2 linked regions of the Struthio camelus genome follow. The protein of the gene in region 2 purifies or fractionates together with the protein of the main gene of each other region. This does not show direct contact. Links are inferred from orthologs where the notes say so. Each region holds a gene or a part of one and is shown on either strand. Other genes may lie near its edges.

Region 1 (9,857 bases), on a different chromosome or scaffold from region 2:
CAAGACCTGCACCACAGAGAGCAAAGAGGTTAAGACAGGAAGAGAGAATAAAAGAGATTTTTGCCATCCTTTTAACTATGAGATTCAGCACTAATTGTAATTCCTCTGTAATTATCTAAAGATCGAAGAATGTTCTGATATGAGAGATCAGAACAACCCAACATTGCGAGAGGGAGACTGGGAACACGCACAGGACCTGGCAGCGGGTGGGAAGGATGGGTTCTTGCACAGCCTGGTGTGCCCAGACCAGAGAAGCAACTCTGCTTGGTGAGACTGTGGAGGGATAACTTTCAGAGACGCAGGCTCGCTTCCCAAGCTCCTAGCATGTAACTAAGTCACGTGGCCCCGATGACCATCTTCCCTTTCATGCTAGAGGAGATGAGGAAGGGCTTTGAGGAGAAATGGAACAAAACCTTCATATAATACACTCACAGCAGCAAAAACTTGGTTCTTGTTCAAACAGAGAATGCAGGAAGGCATCTACACTGTCTATGAGACTAGAGTATACCCAAAGCCAAGGTAACCTTAGCTATTGCTAGCAATAGCCTCCGAGTTCATGTGGATGCAACTTCTTGACTTCTTTTGCAAGCCATGCTGAATCAATGCTCTTGTGACTGGCTCCGAACTTCTTCAGGTATTTTAACTACTGATCCCCATTACTGGAGCACATGAACATCTCACGAGCTTGCATTCACCCTCCACCCAGAAAGAGTTTTCATCCTCTTCCTGTTGATGGGAAGCTGAGATGAAGGGAGGCTAAGTGACTTGCCACATGAGAGGCAGGAAATCAGTAGCACAGCAGCAAACAAGAGCCACATCTCTTAATCGTCTTGCTGTTTCAGATTCAAGGGTTACAGTTCGAGAATGAAAAAGACTATATCCCATTGCCGCAGCAGACAGCACATACCAAGGAAGACTATGACCTTTCAAAGATGTATTGTTTTTAAAGTAGGTTCCCTCCATCTGGGAAAATATTCTATTATCTGGAGGGGGAAGTAGGGGAGGAGGGAAGCACAAACTTGCATCAGAAAACACTTGATTCTCTGGCCAGTTTGTTGGATGTCAGTCCAGACCAAGAATAGTGGATCCAACTGACTGCATGATGTGTTTACTTTGCCACCTGCTTTCAGAGACAAGCCTATAAGTAAATGGCTGTTTTGAATGCTTTTGTGTGTCTACTGAACTTGCGGCAGAACCGTGTCACAGATGATGCTCTAAGAAGAAACTTTTCCCAGACTGCCAGTTCGTTAAAAGCTTGGGAACTTAGGATACTTTTCAATGACAGTATTTACATTCTGTTGCAAAACAAACACCGATTGTATTTCACATGCGTTCCTGGAAAAGAAGTCAACGGTATCTGCACACTGTCTCATTGCTCTTTAAAATCAGTTTGCGTCAGAGAGATCTTACGAGTCAGAAGAAACAGATTTGCAGACACTGGAGCAGTTCATGAACTCCCGAAGCTGCCCAGAGAGTTGTGTAAAGTTAACCGCGCAAAACAAAGAAGGTTTGCATACAAACTGCAGGAAGCAAAGACCTGCTGCTCTCCTGTTTCCCTTCCTCTCCCTAGGGGACTAATCACCACAGGGTCTTTTCTGCAGTGCTTTGGATGCTGTTTTCTATCTCCCAGTTTCTGTGAGGCAGCACAGAACTCCAGCCTGCATTTGTAACCCTTGGAGTGGGAATAGGGATAAATGCAGAGTTGAGGAGAGTCCCTGAAGTCCTTCGGATTCATGCACGGAAACCTAGGTAGAGTGCAGCCAATAAATAGTCAGGATTGGGCCTTTAGTAGCTGATCTGAGAAAGGTGCTTGGGGACCTCTTCCCTCACTGTTGAGGGGCAGGTTAACTGTACCACTTCTTAGGTCAGAAGAAAGGGAGAACATTGACTTCAACTGAAACAGACGGCTGAGCGGCCAGCAGAGGGCAAATACCTGTGTTAGAATTTAATTGGGACATCGTGGCTTTTTCAAAGTGTCACTGAGCTTTTCCTCAAGTAAAAACAGGAGAGCTCAGTGACATACTTCAGATAATAACGGCACGCCAGCTGCACTGCCTCTCTCACCCAACGGAGTTGTTTAGTAGTTACTCAGGAGGTAAAATGTTCCCAGCGTTGCTCCTTGGCTGCTGGAAGCTTTCCTCCGGGAACCACGCTGAGCGTGGGGAGGGCTGTGTTCAAGCAGGCATGCCTTGCAGATGTAAGTGGATTCCCTGACTGGTCTATCTTTAAGATGTGGGCACTTCAGGGCATGTTTTCTTGGCTCTTGGTTACTCTGTTTGAGACTTACCAGTCATTTTCTTCTTCAAAGTAACATACGGAAATGATCTGAGATCTGCTGCTCAAAGCAAACTTGTTCTGCACTGGAGATCCTTACGCAAAACTGTCTGCCCAACTGATGTGCAGCAGGACCAAAACTGGCTTCCACATACCACCTTTCAGGGTCCAAACACAGGTATTTTAGTCTACAGCAGGGGTCATGCTGGGGTTTGAGTGGGAAGCCCAGGCAATATCTGTCAGATTGTATGGTTATTGCTCACACCAATTCCTTGCTCTGTTCCTTTATCACTTAAATTCTTCTTCTCTTGCTCTTCTTCTTCTCATGTGGCAAAACTACAGATGTTGATTCCAGATTTATTTACAGTCAATCTCATCCAGAGACTCAAACTACAGGGCAAATATTGTGCATTGCTCTGCATTGTGTGGCAAGCACCATTTTTTTTCTCTGTGCATACAGGTAAACTGAAGCATCACACTGAAAGCTGTCAAGTTAACGCAGAGAGTCAAGTCCAGAGTTCAGGATGAAATCCAGAAGCCCTCACCAAGGCATCTACTGCTGAACTGTGTAACGTTTTGTCTGCTCATCTATGGGTTTTCCTATGGTCACACTATACTGTTTCAGTGGGACATGATGTGCAGCAGCAACAGACAGTTATTTTCTATGCTAGTTAAAGCTTAAACAAAACTACCAGAAGATATGCTCAAAGTATGCAGCGTAAACTCTACCTGTGAGCTTGCCGCCGTGCGCTGTCAGCTCACGGATTTTTCTTCCGCTGACTCCAGTAGATGTGGGTTGTAGGGCTGACGGCAGTTTCCGTTGGTAGAAGGAACCATTCTGTATCACCCAAGCTTTTTCACGTCCCCCTGAGGCAGCGCACACACAGCAGTTGATCGGATCAAGACAGAATTTTGCATGTTGTGCTGTCTCTTCAGACGATGCTTGTCTACTCAGGATGATAGATTTACATGATTTAACATGTAAAGCTCTGTGTGGGGGATAAACACAGGCTGCTTCAATCTGAGAGCTGTTTGATTCATTTGCTTTTAATCAGTGACTTCTCTGAGATGATGGTACTTCATTGGCAGAAAATGATACTCAGTTAGGGTGGTATCTTTAGTAGAAACACCCACTGTTGTAATTGCTGTGCAGCACTCCAGATACCGAGTGGCTCTGCTGGTTCTGCTGCCTCTAAAATAGCTATCAGGATCCTTTTTTTCTTCCTGCGTGCACACAGCAGGAGTAAACTTCCGTGCTCAAATTCCTCATCTTGACTCATATAACTTTCTCCTCCCTGAGGATGCAATTGTTCACACAGGTGTTTTTCCCAGCCTGGTGATCTATGCATTTTGCATTTTCCTTTCAGATGGAGCCATTGACTCCTCAGCCACTTCAGTGTCAAGCTATTCTTCGCATCCCTTTAACGCTGCTCCTTGTGCCCTCTCCCACGCCGTGCTTAACGTTTCATGTGCGGTCGTCTTACCTGGCTGCCTTGGCATGGACCTCCTTCCCCTTAGCTGACCCGCCATGCCAGGAGGCTCTCATTTACCTCCTTGATGAAGGCTGCAATGCTTCATGCTTGCAGGAGGATCCTGAGTCAGCCAGGCTCTCTGTGGGGTTTATATGATTGCATGGTGGTAAACAGAGTGGAAAGCCTTGACTTTTTCCTTCCTGGTGACCATTCCACAGCTTCTATTACAGTTTTTCAGAGTGTTGATAAATAGCACCATAAAAATTATAGTAATAAATTTAGTCATTGTGGGAACAGGGCTGATGGTAATGCAGGTTACTTGCTTAGGAATGTTTATTACTTAATTAGGACAGTTAAGGCTAGGGTTTGACTGTAATGCAGACCAAATGCAGTACGGTTTTGTTTGTTTTTAATTTTTCTCAAGTCTTTAAGAAGCAGCGTAAGGACTCACACGTGAATATGTACCAGCGTACGCTTACGGGGAGCGTGATTTAACTGTGACAGCAGATAAGTCACTGCTGACTCACGGGGAAGGAGCTGTGCAGAGCCAACGGGAGGGACCTCGCCTCACGTTGGCCTCGCAGGGCTCCTTTCGAAAGCCTGTCCCGCTCGCCTGGCCGCGCCGCTGCGTCACCGTCCGAGCTCCCTGGCTGCGGGGCTGAGCTCGGAGCACGGTACAACTGTATCCTGGTTTTCTTAACGCAAAAAATGTTGCAGAACAGGTTTTCCACGTGGGTCCGAACTTTGGCCCAGGCCCGGCAGATGGGATCTGTCCCCAAACCACAGGGCACATGTACAAACAGGGAGGAGCGAGATGGGACAACAGCAGACAGCTTGCAAAAGGGAAGGCAAGCAAGAAAAAGCGCATGGGGATCTGCAAACAGCATTCCCCCCCCCCAGTGTAGAGAAACTTCTAGTAGTTTTCAAATTATAGAGAGAAATATCGACGTACGACTAGAGGAGCAGGTAGATTTGGGGAGTGCCCTGTGCTCTGGTAGTCCTTCACGAATACGGATGATTCCTGGCAGTTAGTACTGAGTCGGATTCGATCTTTGCTCAAACCGCCAGTTTTTGGCTCAGCGTCAGCAAATCTCAGACCCGGGCGCCTAATTCGCCCCTAAGGGACCCGAAGCCGCCGCGCCGGCCTGCTGGCTCCGCGTGCGGCAGGCCGGAGCCGACTTCACCGGAATTTACCGCGTTTAGGGGGGATTTTCGTCACTCTGCGACACCGACCGCCCCCCCCCCCCCGCCCCGCAGGGGGGGTCCCAGGGCGGCAGGTGCCCGCGTCTCCCCTCAAAGCCCTCCCTGTCTCTGACGCCCTTCGCAGGCGGCCGCGCTCGCTTGGCCGCATCTCCTCCGCGCCCGCCGTGCCCTGTGGAGGGGACAAACGCGTTTATTGGGGTTCGCGAGTGTCACCCCCCCTTCCCCCCCCCCCGCCGCGCACCTCTGAGGCGCCTCAGGGCTGCGGCGGGCGCTGCCCCCTTCGGCAAGGGCGCCCCCGCGTGGCGGGCGCGGGTGGCGGGCGCGGCTCCGCCCCGGCGCCGGGCAGCTTTAAGGGAGGCGCCAAACCTCCGCCTCTCCTCAGCGGGCCGCGCCGCGCCGCGCGGCGCCTTTAAGGTTGCCGCGGCGACGGCTCTGGGCGAGAGCGAGGCGCATTGACGTCACGCCGCGCGGCCATTGGCTCGGCCAGCTGGTTTCCGGTGGGAGCTGCCGCCGCTGCTGCTGCCGTCGCCAAGGCCGAAGGCCGGGAGGGGTGGTGGGAGCCCGGCGGAGCCGCCGCCGCGCCGCGCGGTGAGTGGCGCCCGCCCGGCCCAGCCCGGGGGGCCGCGGCCTGGGGCGGCTCCATGTTGAGGGGAGCCGAGCTGAGCCGAGCCGGCGCCCCCTTCCTTCCCCCCCTCCCCGGGGCCTGCTCGAGGCCCGGCCGGGCTGCACCGGGCCCCAGGCGGCAGGAGAGGCCTCGCTGCGGGGGGCTCCCGCGGGGCCCTGTGCGGTGCCGAAAAAATACCCCCCCCCTCCCCGTCCCCTTCCCCAGCGGGGCTTGACCACTGCACGGCCGGGCCTCGGCGGCGCCGGCGGGGGGGGCTCGGCAGGGCTGGCCGGGCGGCCCCGGCGCCGCCGCGCGGGAGGGGCCTCTGGGGAGAACTTTGCTCCTGCGACAGGCAGGGGAGTTATTCGGCGAAGATGCCGTGTTCGTGGGGGTTTGTCACTTCTTTGGTGCTTACCGTGCTGGGCTCGCTCATCGCGCGGGCAGCAGCAGCTCGCGGCCGCTGCCTGTCAGCAGCGCGATGCAGCTTCACGCGGCTGTAGGTCGCTTTTTTGGTAGGTTGTAGTTTGTAGGCTGTCATGGAGCACCCGAGTTTCTCCGGGGCTGTTAATTAGTATTGACCTTGGCTGCGCGAGTTGCCAAAACAAAAGAAGTAACTGGAGAACTTTAAGGCCGCGTTTCAGTCCGTGCGAACTCCAAACTTGGTGTTTGTGCAATGCGTGATGCATCTGCGTCCCTGCATGCTTATGCAGGGATTAGATGTGACAAGAATGAAACCTCTTTGAAGTGTTAGCGATTTAGTATTAACTCTAGGCCTCTAGTAATCTCTAGTAGCATAATTCAGAGGGGCATAGCGTTGTACTTTCTATGTGGCCATGCGTGCTGTGTTTCTCAGCCTGCTGCCTGAATAGGATAAAATGCGTAATACAACTGTGCTACGTGACTTTTCAGTGGCTTGTCATCTCTCAAACTTATTTTGTCTGATTCTTTTTCACCCTTCAAAAGCTGATCCTGGGATCATCATATCTTACTGCCTATTCGTAGGTGTTGCCACAACCCTTATCCCAGGTAACTGTCTTTATATTTCATCAAAAATGCCCTGAGAAATTCTTTCCTGTTTCTTTAGCCATCTCAATGTTAGTTGTTTTGTGAAGAAAATTATGACTTGAAATGGATTTCTGTGTGTGTGTATATATAAATATATGCATGTATATATATGCACACACATATAAAACTATCATATGTATGTATATAACCTGAAAGATGAAAAAGAACTGCTTAAGCACATTTTTTTTTGAAATTTTTGTTTCTGACACTGTAATTTTAAAGTCTCCTGAAAACCTGACGTTGTAAGATATACGTTTAAATATGTACTCTTGATAACATACCTTCAACTGTAAGTATTGGGGGATTGCCATGTATTCACTGAAATGGATATGAAGCGTGGGCCAGGTTAAAGTATAGAAGCTTTTTAGGGGAAACACCTTTAATGCCTTAGTTTCCGTTAATGGGCACTGCTTGGGCATTTGGGGAACTGGCTTTGGCTTTGACCTTAATGTTTCTAATACTTCCAGTGCTTGCCTTTCTAATTCCCAGCTTCTCCTGACCTGTCTTTCGATTGTCATCCACCTGGCTCCATATAGAGCATACAGTTCTGTTTGTGATGTGACCTTCTCATCTGTGAAATCTTAGACTTAATCAGCAGAAAGCTTAGCTGGAAACCTCACTGATAAGCATCTTGTTCCTTGACTTTGAATGCTCACTGAACATAAATTGTTGAGGCCTTTACAGCTCAATTGCTTGCTTTCCCTCTTATGCTTGTGGAGTATTTTGTAAAGCACTCGAAATTCTTATTTCTTCCCTCATGTTAAATAAGCTTTTCTAGAAGCAAGATCAAACTGTGGGATTTAGTGTCTCTCTTACTGGATACTTCCTAGCTTTTTTCTCTTGTTGTTTAGCTGCTTTACTAGACTTGCAGATAAGAGATGACTTTATGCCGTGATGTTATTAAGATGATAATGCAGTGTAACTTTCTTTTTAGACAGCATGACATGCCTGACTGTATCAGGCAGCAGCATCTTCATTTCCATTGGTTTATTTAACCTTCTTTTTTCTCTTCAGCAATGGCAGCTTCTAGCAGCAGCAGCAGTGAGGAGGAGCGTAGTCTTCGAGAATGTGAACTCTATGTCCAAAAACACAACATCCAGCAACTTCTGAAGGATTGCATTGTGCAGTTATGTACAGTGCGACCTGAAAGACCCATGGGATTCCTCAGGGAATACTTTGAAAGATTGGAGAAGGTAAAAATAAGTGCTGGAGGGGAAGGAGAATGGAGCAACCTAAATTTACAACCTTTCTATGGAATTTTAGAGGCTGACCTTCAGATACGACCAGTGTTCATATTGATTGTTTGAAATTGGAACTAAGGGAAAGCTTTTGTCAAACAAGTCTTACTTTCCATAATTTTTACCAGTTGATCATGGTTTTAAAGCATTTCTGTAATAACAAAACATGTATGGCAAAATAGAAACTGAGGAAGAAATTTATCTAGCTTAGATGCAGATATAATCCCAATCTAGTGCTTCCTCTTAGAAGCTAATAGATAGGATATACTGTTCTTTCTGCAGTCCAGTGATAACTGTGGTGTATTCATCCAGCAGATGCTGGCAGTAGGCTTTTGGTTTATTATATTGAGAAAAATTATTTACAATGATTTAGGTGTAGCACAGAAGTAGGCTAGTGATATTTATCCAGACCTACCTGAAATCGAATTGAAATACTTGTATTTCAGCTTTCCAGGAGAGCAAGCCAGTTCCTGCCTTCTTTCAGTAGCTCGGTGTTGGTGTGTTTTGTTTGTTGTTCTTGCCGCATTTGTCTTCGAGGTGCCTTTGACTGTTTTTGCTGTGAAGTTGGTAGAAACATTCTGGGATCTTGAGGATGGAAAGCATTTTTGTCAATATAAGATAGGCATCTCAATGCTCGCATTTGAAACAATGATTTTATGTTCATTTGAACAATTAATTTTAAATTCCAATATCTAAGCAGACAGGAAAAGAAGCTGTTGTGAAAAATGTGAGGTTTTTCAAGACTAATACAGAGAAAACGGACTAATACAGACTAGTTGTATCTAACTACTGTATTCAGACTATATCACTAGTAAATAAGGTAACTGTGGCCTTATACAGCAGTCACTTGTAGGTACTCCTTTCAGTACTTTTATGCCAGGTATATGTTTGTCTTTTGTTTTAGGTAGGAATTAACAGAGATCAGAAGTATGTGTTGTGAAAAGGTTCTTGTAATGGTTGGAAAAATGAGCAGATGCTGCAGATTTACCTTACATAGTGTTTTTTGGTTTTGTTTTTTAAAATGACATCCTGAAAAAACTCTTTCAGAATACTAGCAGCAAACTAGATCCTAATAGGGTTTTTAAAATCAATTGTCCCTTCCTGTTGCCCTGCTTCCTTTCCTAGCATAGATTTTCAAGTTTCTAAGCACTGACAGATTTTAAAGGTTTGTATACCAACACTTGTGGTGTTATTGCTTTAAAAATTATCAAAGTTAATTACCTTACTGCCCATGGAATAAATTGTAAGCTAATCCATGTGTGAGCTTATAAAATGGGAGTAGTCATCTTTTTCCTTTAGTGGACTGACATGCAACATGTAATATTTAATCTTGAAACTTAGTTTGTCTTTAGGAAGAGGACAAACCTAGCTCTGGACTTGGTTGTTGGTATTTCAGAGTTGAATAACTCAAGCATGTTTTTTTATGGTGCAAATAGCTGTCTGTCAGCTCTGTCGGCCTACAAGAAAGCTGAAAATAAAAATGGTTAGGTAACTTTTTTGCTTGCAAATTACTCTTATAGTTTTGATCAAGGTCTCTCGTTATCAGGTATATTGGCATAGGTTATGCACATGCACTAATGCAGTTGTATCTACAAGGGAAAGCACAGCATTTCTCTTACCTTTTTGAATTAAAAAAAAATCTCTGTAGCTTGCTTTTTTGATGTAGTTTTGCCTTCCAGTCTAATGGATTGGTCTTCATTTAGCCAGGTAGGATAGTACCTTAATAGCTGTGAAATAACAGAGCAGTGGACATCCTGTGCTACGTGAATGAACTTTGACATCTCTATCTGAAAAGCACAAATGCTAAGTGCTATTATTAACCAGCTCTACCCCAGTACTCTGGTTGAGCAAAAAATGTTTGGATTTGTCTCTTTCAGCTTCCATAGGTAATGTCTGTTACATCTTTAACGAAACAGCACTGCTTTTCAGTGTACCTTCTGAATCTGTTACACTGAATGAGACTGGGGCTGAGATACAGTGTGGTGGGTGTTTTTGACTGAA
Region 2 (10,188 bases):
CACATAACTAGTAGTGAAGGACAACCTGAAAATTCCCTCATGGGCCTGAGTATTATCATGGATCAAATAAATACAGGAAAATTCAGTGCTATCAGAAGCTCATATTCATGATAAAGTTGTGCATAAACCACAAGGCAAAGCTGAAGAAATCCAAAAGGAATCCAAAGCAAGGCAAGGTTGCATTCAGTCATTAACAACTGACTCAATAATAGTTAGTTATTGAGAGGGGTTTGAGCATTTTCTAACTGAACAGATTTACACTGAAAATGTCGGATTGCACCAGTTTCATCAAAGCTTTTTACAGAAGCTAAAGTGGTGATCTGGCTGGCTGCCGGCCAGAAATCCAACCAAGCTGGTTGTTTGCTGTAACTCAGCTGCCTGGGTATCTAGCTATCTGGCAATTTGCCGACTGCTCAGTTGGTTTCTTGGCTCCCCAGACATGTCAGCTGGCAAAGAAATAGATTGTTCCATTTTTTGCCAGTAAGGCAGCCCAGCCAATGTGTTTTGTTCCAGTGCTCAATGAAACAAAATATTGACAAGCTGGAATTTCCTGTAGAATAAAAATTTCACTTCCTAGCCAGCTCTAGTTATTATCGTACACTCTTGTGTTACAAAGCGATGGTGTTATCACACCCTTTAAGTAAATACGACGCACAGAAATTATGTTAATCTAGATAGTGTTTTTAAGGCATTGGATAAGAATCTTGTAGCATCTGAAACTCTCTCTATGCAGTACAATGCACCTTTTTATAAAGTCCATCTGTGATGCTTCCCATTTTGTATCAAAAGGCTTATTAAGATGTCTCTTAGAATTCACTTGTCAGCAGGACATAACTGGCCAACTGACAGATAAATTCTGAATATAGTCTGTGGATTACATCTTTTATGTATATTGTTTTGGAAGATAATTTACTTACGTTACAGATCATCCAACTCCCGTTTCAGTTTTCAAGTCACGGATGAGAAAAACCAAGAATAGTTGTAATATAGTTTTTCATATTTATATAACGATGATTAGATTCTCACTGTTAAAACAGTGAGCTAAAATACTCATGAACATGCAAATAAAGATTACTTCTCAAACATGTCATTGGGAACAACAGATTGTGCAATGTTCAGTGAAAAGAAACCAGAAGATGTTGTTATAAATGCCATAAACTGAACCCTTGACAGAGACAAATATCATGGTCCAGCACCGGCCAAAGGTTAACGTCAGGATGACTAATAAAATTATACACTCAAAGAGTTCCGGGTTTTTAGTTCATAGGTGTGTTAAGAGTATCATTTTCAATGAGACACTGAGCAGGATTTAAATGGCAACGCAAGTCAACACATGGGTATGCACTTGGTGGCAGAACAAGCCAATTTAAACTGTGTCTGTTATCAGTTGTCTCTGTGTCTAACCCCAGTGCCATGCTGACAAATTTATTATGTTGGTGAACAGGATCAGCAAAAAAGAAGAAAAGCAGATTGTTTTCTAGCCTTCTCAGCCCAATCTCATTTACTGCTTGATTTCACAGATGTTCATGCTGGCACAGTCCAGAAGCAGTGCAGATGCAGAAGCAGGTAGCTGAGGCTGAGAGGCAGAAAGCTATGTTATAAAGAAAGAGGCCACAAAAAAGACATTCAAGAAATTGTATCATTAGTTCACATCAGACAAACTTTAGATTGGGGGGAAAAGTAGTATCTAGCATGGCAGATCCTTCCCAGCTTGCCACAAGAGGATCAATGGAAAGGCTTATCCAGGCTTTCAAGAAATGCATGCTATGTCTCTAGTTAAAGGTAGGCATGGCAAGACTATAAACTGTCTATCTGCCTTTGGGCAGGCAAATTACTACATATTACTACATCAGTGTAGTTTATAGGATGCAATTTAAAGTCTTGCTTGGACATCATAAAGCTTTAGGTATAGAGGGACATTCTTCAAAGATGGTGCCATCAAAAAAAACCACTGACTGAACTATGCAACTACGTAGCTTTCCTGTACAAAGAAAAAAATATTAGCCTGAGACCAATAAGAAAATGAATGGAAAACTGCCATATAATCACAGATTAGTGCTTCATCTCCTTTTATAGAACTGGCATTGAGTATGTTAGAGAGATGACAAACAAGTCAGTCTGAGCTAGACATTCAACAAGTTGCGCTAAGCCAGTTACACTGAAAATATCAAGCTTATTAGACAGGTGCAGATAGTCACTCACGATAGTACCAGTGACACAATAATATTTCTGCTAGAAAAGATTCTAAAGGTACAGCTCAATATGTTTTTGATACAGAAAGAGCAGAAAACACTGCAAGTGTCTACATGACAAAACCGCAGCAATGTCCAGGGGTAAATCACAATCTATCTTGCATTCATTTCTGTCATGTTGCAGATCAAATTATAACTTGTTAGAAATATTCTGTTACCTTAAAAGAGAAGTATACAACTTATAGAATCAGAAAATATCCCTTTAAATAGTTTATGAACTTTCTAATAGCATTCCATCCTTAGAAACTCATGAGGGCAGTATTCCATATAACCATTTAACACCTACAGCATATGGTTACAAAAGATAAAAAGAAAGATGTTGAAACTTGGAAGTATATCCAGAAAAGTTTTATGTATTCCTCACCTGAAAAAGAAAATGGGACAAAAACCAACCCAAAACATTAAGAGAAGCCCCACTGGATCAGCAAAAAGGCTCCATCTAACTCACTATTCCATCTCTGATTAGTGCTAAAAGAGATATTATTTGTGGTGAGCATATTCCTTGCTATTGGCATGGAATTTGCCTGCCCCGAAGAATTTAGTAGCATCCTCAACCCTGGACATTTCACTCCGCACTCCCTGCTTTGGATGAAGATGAATAAAACTGGTCCCTGCCCTGATTCCTGAGGGATCCTACTACCAACTCTTCTGCATCCTGAAAAGTTACCATTAAGTCCAGCTTGTGTTTACTCACTTTCATAGGGCCTGGTAACGGATGTTGTTGCTAGGCAAGGTCCATATTCTCCTACTAGCAGTGAAGTTTTACACACCCGCTTTTGGCAAACAACCAAACTTTCCTGACAATACAACCATGGCAGCCCCTGGACAACCCGATATATCCCCATCAGGTATACCCCTCCTGAAACATGGAAATGCTCCTGTGGTAACTAATGAGACAAATAAAAACTATGTTCCATTATATCAGTCCCCTGGATAAGTCTGATTCCTGTCAAATCTATGTTAGATATGTATGCTTTGGGTTTATCTACCTATACTTGTGTATTGAGTAGGAAAATGCATTAGTTGAAAAAAGTGCTTCATTATTCTTCACCTTTCATTTCAGTATTTTCACTATAAGGGAATGCTGCTCTTTCGATCATATATTCCACTAGATATCTGCTTTATTAATGACCCTCAACTTTTGAATTTGCTGTCTGTGAAACTCCCCCCTGTTCCACCTGCCCACCCCAAAGTTTATGAAAAATGTAAGACTAACGTGTGCTCTACAGGACACAGATTACCAGAGCGCAGAAACTGACACTCTATTTCTTCATAATTAATATGCATTTTAAGAAGTGTTGACTCACCAGCTAATATTCCTATACATTTACACAGGCAGTATTTAAATCAGTTGTAAAAAAACAACCGCTATTCTAAAGCTATTTCCATTTTTAATATTGTATATAAAAACACTTTTCTGACAAACAATGGTGTGCTGTGGGTTATGTTTCATAGTTTCCGGATGAGGTTAAATCTTGATTTTTTTTCAAGGCTTTGGCAGAGAACCATAGGAAATCATTATTCTGAATAGTCTAAGGGGAATTATAGACCAAAGGGAAGAATGGGCTTGAATTTATTTTTAAAGCATTCTTTCTCATGTTTATGTTGTTTCCAGATCTATTTTGTTTTGGAACACTTTTACTTACAGTAAGTCTTGATATATGAAAAACAAAAACAAAACCCTTCTACAGAATTTTTAGTTTTTATGAAAACTGAAAGGTACCTTGAACCAAGGAGTTGGTCAACAAAGGCACCAAAGACCTGCAAAACTGTTACAATTTCCTTACTTAAAGGACAGTGAATTTATAAAATAGCATGGTCTCAACGAGCACTGAAATGATGACACACCTGAGTTAAATTTAATTCAATTACTCATTTACTTTCTCCCCATCCCATAGGGATCTGTAGTCCCTGGGAATAAGAGAAACCTTTTGTTCGACCCACTTTACTAGCGTTTTAGAACCAGTGATCCTTTGATTCTTTTATCTATCTAGCCTACATGGTTTGCACGCTTTGCCCCATAGCTTATTAGTTTTTAGGACAAATTAAAATTAAGTTTCTCTGTTGATAATATGAATAAGTGAATACGCATCCTGACTTCTGAAGTGGCTAAAATGATTATGAAGCCCAGAAAGAGCAAATTATCAAGGACTAAACAGAAGTAAAAGTTAAGGCTTAAGTAAAAACAGAAGCCAGGAATCGCGTGGAAAAAGTTATGGACATCCAATAGCAAACAGGGTTCGTTTGTTTGTGGCAAGAACACACTCTCACTGTCTTTTTATAGGGCTCAGGTAGTAGTGGAAGAAGAGATAAACACAACTTAGTAGGAAGTCAGCATAGTCTCTCTGTCTTTGTCTCTTTCTGTGAAGCAGATGGGTCACACTTTGAAATCCTTAGCTCATAAAAGCTACAAGGCTAGCATCTGTTTTCTTTCCTTTTCTGCCAGTATATAAAGTTTTGGATTCGTGCTAAAAACAGCTGTGGGGGCTCTTTCTTTTCTGACCTGGAAAAGTTGTTGCAATCCCATGCCACCTAGCATGAGTTTCTAGTTACAGTGGAATTCTGGTTCTGTTGTTCCCCTTCCTTAGTTTCACTCTTACATGCTGAGCCTCAGAAAGACTTGTCTGGATTTTGGGAGTGTCTTTTTTTGAGGGAAGGACAGAACTGTTAGCCTACAGCGGTAGACTATCCACAGCTGACGGGTAGTGCAGAGAATCCACTGCAGTCAACAGACTTTCTGGTTTGTTTCCTCCTTTGCTGTTGCCATGTTAGTGTCTGACAGAGCTGGTGCTGTAATGGAGCAATGTTGGGAAGCTGCATGAGCTTTTATTAGATCACTGCTTCTATGCAGACAGAAAGAAATGCAATGCTCCAACAGCACGCACTGTTAAATACTCATCACTATCATAGCTCAACTTGAAAATAGATTGCGTATTGATGGCGTATCTTTTCACGTCTAAATTTTTGAGGAACCCGGTAACACTGAGTTTAAAAAGGGGATGGGAAAGAAAGAAATGCTCGGGGGCTTCAGGCAGAGTTTGAGAGTCTGCTCTCTGTGCCTTGTGTGACTAAAACCAGATTTAGCCTCTAACCCATCTGCCCTGCTGAGCCAGCCAGCCAGGTGGCAAGCCAAGCCTTGCGTGAGAGGTTTTTGCATGCAACCAGGGGGCAACTCTTAAGTCCAGACTGACTAGGCAGGAAAGACCCACCTGGCAGGTCTCCCGAATGCCTTGGAGGACAGAGTTTGGCATCCTGCTTCTCACGCAACTTTTCAAGGGCTGTGCAAAGGCTGCAGCTGCCACGCCAGGTGCTGAGGGAAGGGCAGTAGCCTCACACCATGCCATGCCATGCTTCTTGCTGCAGGGAAGACACTGGTCGTGACTGTACCGTCACTTCTGTGGATGGGACGAAGCAGCACTGGCCACGGAGGCTCTTCGGCTGGCAGCAGCAGCACCAGCCACCTCGCAGCATCCCCCTCAGAGAAGGCGCCTGTCGAGGCCTGGAGGGGCAGACGGGACAGGTGGCCTGGGCCAGACACGAGGTGCGTTTTGTTCCTAACTTTGCCAGGAGAAGGCGCGTAAAACGCAGCTCCTAAGTAGAGAAGATGGAACACACACCCGTTACCGGGCGAGTAACGCCTATAACGGGCGGGGGCGGCGCGCGCACCCCCACGCTGAGGGGCGGGGCGGGGCGCTGGCGAGCGCATCCTCCTCCTCCTCCTCCTTCCCAGGATTCCTTCGAATTCCCGCTTTGGCGGCCAATGAGGACGCGGCGGGAGCCGCCACGTGACGCCCTCCCTCCTGCGGGGGGGGGGGCGCGCGCGAGACTGCGGTGGGTGCTGGGTGGGGGGCGGAGAATCGTCGCGAGAGCGGCACGCACGCGCGCCGAGAGCGCGGAGGGGGGGCGGGGGGAGGCGGCGGCGGGGGGCTGCGGCGGTAACGGGGGCGGGCGGGCGGGCGGGCGACGACGGGGCCGAGCTGGGTGTTCGCTCTGTTGCTTTAGGAGGCGAAATGGCTGCGGGCGCCGGATGCTGAGGAGGCAGTCAGGTACGGGGCGCCCGCTCTTCTTCCCCCCTGCCCTCTTCCCTCCCCCACCGCCCCCCTTTTGGCGGCGGGGGGCGAGGCGGCCGTTGCTTCCGTCCGTGCGCGAGGCTGGGGGAGCCGTTGAGGGCGGGGCGGCGGCGGCGGCGGGGCAGCGCTGGCTCCCGGCCTGCCGGGCGGCGGGGGCTCGTCCCCACAGGTGGCTCCCGGCGGGGCAGGGAGGTGAGGATGCTCTGCCCCTTCTCCGCGCTCCCCTCCCCCCGCACCTGCGGGGAGCAGAGCCGGGGGTGCGCCGCTGCTGGCTCCTCCCCGGCGGGCTCTGCCTGGCCTCGGGCATGGCGCTTCTTCACCGGCCCGGCGCTTCCCTGCGCCCGCGGTGGGAGCAGCGCGCCTACCTGAGGGGAGCGCAGCGCCCTGGGCCGCGGTGGCGGCGGGGCGGTGTTGGCGACCCCCCTCCGTGTGGGCTGCGCAGCGGGGCGCGGCGGGCTGCGCCGGAGGCCTGCCGGCCGGGGAAGTCCGCTAGCCCGCTCGGCGGAGGCCGTCTCGGCTGCCTAGTGGCTTGTTTCGTGGTTGATGCACACGGGTTCAATAAGTTCACCTCGTCCTCGGCGTTTAGCATTTTAAAAGTGGCTTTTCTTTTTCCCCTTCCCCATCCTTCTCCCAATTCCTTTCCTTGCTGAAGAGAGGGGGAGGGAGTGTTGTGCGTTCGCTTTCTTCGCTCTTCTGTGCAGCTCTCTCTATGTCTAATGAAGTTACTTCTTTCTGTAGGTTTCTGTGGTTTTCCCTAATATCTATTTAAAAAAAAAAAAGGTTATGAACTGCGGCTGTAGATCCTGTGCAATAAGATTCGCATTGAAGCCTTGAGATATTATTGCAGTGCAAATAAATCACTATGAAATAGGGTGAAAAATAAGTTTTATTTTGTCTGGGAAAGATCAATAGTAATAAAATCAATGGTAGCACAGTGCACTTAAGTTGTCCATATTAGAGTTGGAAAGACAGTCTTACTTGGGTTGAAAGTTTATTTCATAATTATACAGTTAGTCTTTAGTCTTGTGAGAGATACTGTTAGTATTAATTCTTGAGAAATTACCTATTTATAAATAGTGCTGGTCCCATTTGTCCAGGCAAATTCCTTGGTCTTCATCCATGAGCAGGCAAGGTGACTTTTTGAGACTTAGTAATGAAATTGTGCTGTCTTTTCTGATAAATGATAATATTTTTTTTTATCCTTTGTAGATTCTTTAAAATATATTGACAGTTGGAAGAGTATAGCAATGGAAAGTCTTGCACAGTATGGAAAAATAATAAAAATAAATTAGATTATTCCCTCTTCCTGTTAATCATTTGGTATGTTACAGTATTAAAAAGACCCTCCTAAACAGGGTATTCTCTGGCAAAGTGCTTCTCCAGGGGAAATAAGATTGCTTGAAAAATGTAATGCTACTATTGAAATGCTGTTACTTACACAATCATTTTAAAAAAAGAAAGTTTAGCTGTGTTGTGTTACACAACAGAATAAAGTGCAAAAACATGAAGTTAATTGCATAACCCCCAAAGTCTAGACTAATGGGTGTTTTTGGTATGTTAGGTAATATTTTTCTTAAAGGCTATATTTGAGAATTCACCCCGCCTCCCAAAAAGTTTCTTATGTTTTAACAGGTGTTCTTTATGCTTTAAAAGGTTTTCTGGTGTTCTAACAGTTGAGAGGTCTGCTTGCTTAGATGATATTTAATTTGATTTTTTTTTTCCCTGTAGTGGCTTAAAAATGTTTCCTTTAGGTGAACAAAAGCAAATATCCCTTTTGTTTAAAGTCCTCCTTGTGTAGTAGGGAGGAAAAGTGAAAAACAGTAAAAGGTTTTTTGAAGGGTGAAGGAAAGGGAATGATTCTATGGTTCTTTAGTGTTGCTACAGTGGCATTCAACTGATTAGTGCTATTTTTATGGCTCTGATGCCATCTGTGTTGCTGATATGCAATTAGAAAGTAAATAAAAATCATTTTAATATTGAGTCAACTTGCACAGGGAAAAGATGAGTACTTGCTGTTTACTATAGTGAAAGAGTTTATTTTTCAAGTTTTGGAGAAGATACAGCGTGAGAAATGTTAATATTTTCTATAACATTCTATGGTGTAGTTATTTTATGATAAAATGTGAAATGTTTATCATTATACTGTAGCAGTATTAAAAGAGACAATTTTCTGTGGTAGTTGCTTATCCAACTTTTTTAAAAATAACAAAGAGGTTCAATTCAGGGTAGATGGAAAACTGCAAATTTTCCAGATTTTTCAGCCATATATTCTGGAACAAATGGCTGCCCTTTTTTTTTTTTTTTTTTTTTGAAATGATTGCCTGTTTTAATAATTGAATGTTGAAAATCTTTTTTACAAAAAGAAGGCTAAAGACAGTGATGCAGTATGCTGGCAATACCACTGTAAGAGTGGAATCAGTGAACCAAAAGGGAATGGAGGTCTTTTTATAAAGAAAATATTTGAGCCAAATCTTCAGGTAGATCTTAGTGTACAATTGATGAACAACAGTGCTCTATTTTTAGACCTTATGAGCATAGTAACAAGCATACTTTTAATTGGAATGTGTTCTGAAGTATTTCAAAAGATGCAGTTAATGAATTGAGGCACATGTAGTTCTGACCAAAAAACAAAGTCATTTAGACTTTAATTTATGTTTTACTTAATGCTGGAAAAATATTTTTAGCAATGAACTAATCAGAGAAAATTAAGAATTCTTTTGAAAGTAGTGAAGCTTATTATTCACGTCATGCATCCGATGTAACAAGAATTCAATGTAAAACAACTAGAAGCAAACAAGAAAAAGAAAATTCAGTGTTTCAGAATTGTCAGTAATGCTCACTGACATGAACTGAATTTGTTCCACCTTTTCTTAGTGTGGATATAGGTACGTTCAAGACAACTTGACGTTTTTATAAATAGGCTTTTTCAAAACTGCCAACCACGTTAGCGAAAGTGATAAATTATTAGAAATAAGAAATGGAAAAGCATCTATCAGACTATTCTGTCGATTTGTCAGTACCAGATTGTTTAAGTTGGTTTTCAATAGCATTTACTTTGTTAAAGTTACAAAGGAGTGCATGTTGTTTTAAAAAAAAAAAAAAAAAAGAAATTTAATGTTTGGAATGAATGTCTCCAAGCTCAGCTTTTGATTAAGCCTGGCTTTTGGAAATTGTCAGCCAAGTTCTTTTGGCTGCTTTAGGTCATTGTGTTGAAGGCACAAAAAGTACTTTGCTTTAAAAGGAAGGTCTCTTCTTCCCCTCCCCCCCTCCTTGAACAATACTACAGCAAAAATATGTTTTGAAACAAAAGCATAGATATACTGTTGTCCTCAACTAGAATGTCTGTTGGAACTTAATTTAATAAGAATGGAATATATTACATATAGTTCAAATTTATCAGATATACAATTCAAATTCTTAAATATGCTAGTATACCTTTAAACATAGACATGTATATGTGCACAGCTATTTCAAAGATTTACTTAGCACATTTGCCCTTTACAGACATAACATAAACTTTCTTTCTGTGTCAGTTAATGTTTGTAAGCGCACGCTGACTTTTAATAAATTTATGTAAAAAATTGAAAACCAGGGCAACGTTCCTATTGAATTATTGGCGTTGATTTCACTAGTGAATTTTGCGTGTTACCTAATGAGATCTGAAAAGCTAACTAAATGTGTATTCCTTGTTCCTTAGTTTAGTGCGGGTATTGGCAATTCCCACAATCAAGTTCTTTTCTTTTTTTTCCCCCCTTTTTTGAATGTCTGCCTTTGGCTGATATTTTTTCAGAAACAGAAAAGTTCTGTTGCTCTGGCATCCGAGACTTTTGCCATTTATTCCCCCATTTCTTGTGAAGTTTACAGTA

Evidence for each region. Proteins that work in one complex are often made in the same cells at the same time.
Region 1: the proteins of AKAP11 (region 2) and PRKAR1A purify together in Homo sapiens (affinity purification with mass spectrometry; 3 studies listed by BioGRID and IntAct, counting the BioPlex papers as one, with this or other methods). This does not show direct contact. The link is inferred for Struthio camelus from reciprocal best matches to the Homo sapiens genes AKAP11 and PRKAR1A.

Annotation. Positions count from the first base shown.
Region 1 is NC_090960.1:3,399,959-3,409,815, reverse strand, and holds the start of PRKAR1A (cAMP-dependent protein kinase type I-alpha regulatory subunit), read left to right. Parts: upstream 1-5,885; 5' UTR 5,886-6,031; coding exon 6,032-6,065; intron 6,066-6,516; coding exon 6,517-6,579; intron 6,580-7,632; coding exon 7,633-7,811; intron 7,812-9,857. UniProt on the Homo sapiens protein: Regulatory subunit of the cAMP-dependent protein kinases involved in cAMP signaling in cells.
Region 2 is NC_090942.1:189,551,102-189,561,289, forward strand, and holds the start of AKAP11 (A-kinase anchor protein 11), read left to right. Parts: upstream 1-5,999; 5' UTR 6,000-6,083; intron 6,084-6,154; exon of another isoform or gene 6,155-6,298; intron 6,299-10,188. UniProt on the Homo sapiens protein: Binds to type II regulatory subunits of protein kinase A and anchors/targets them.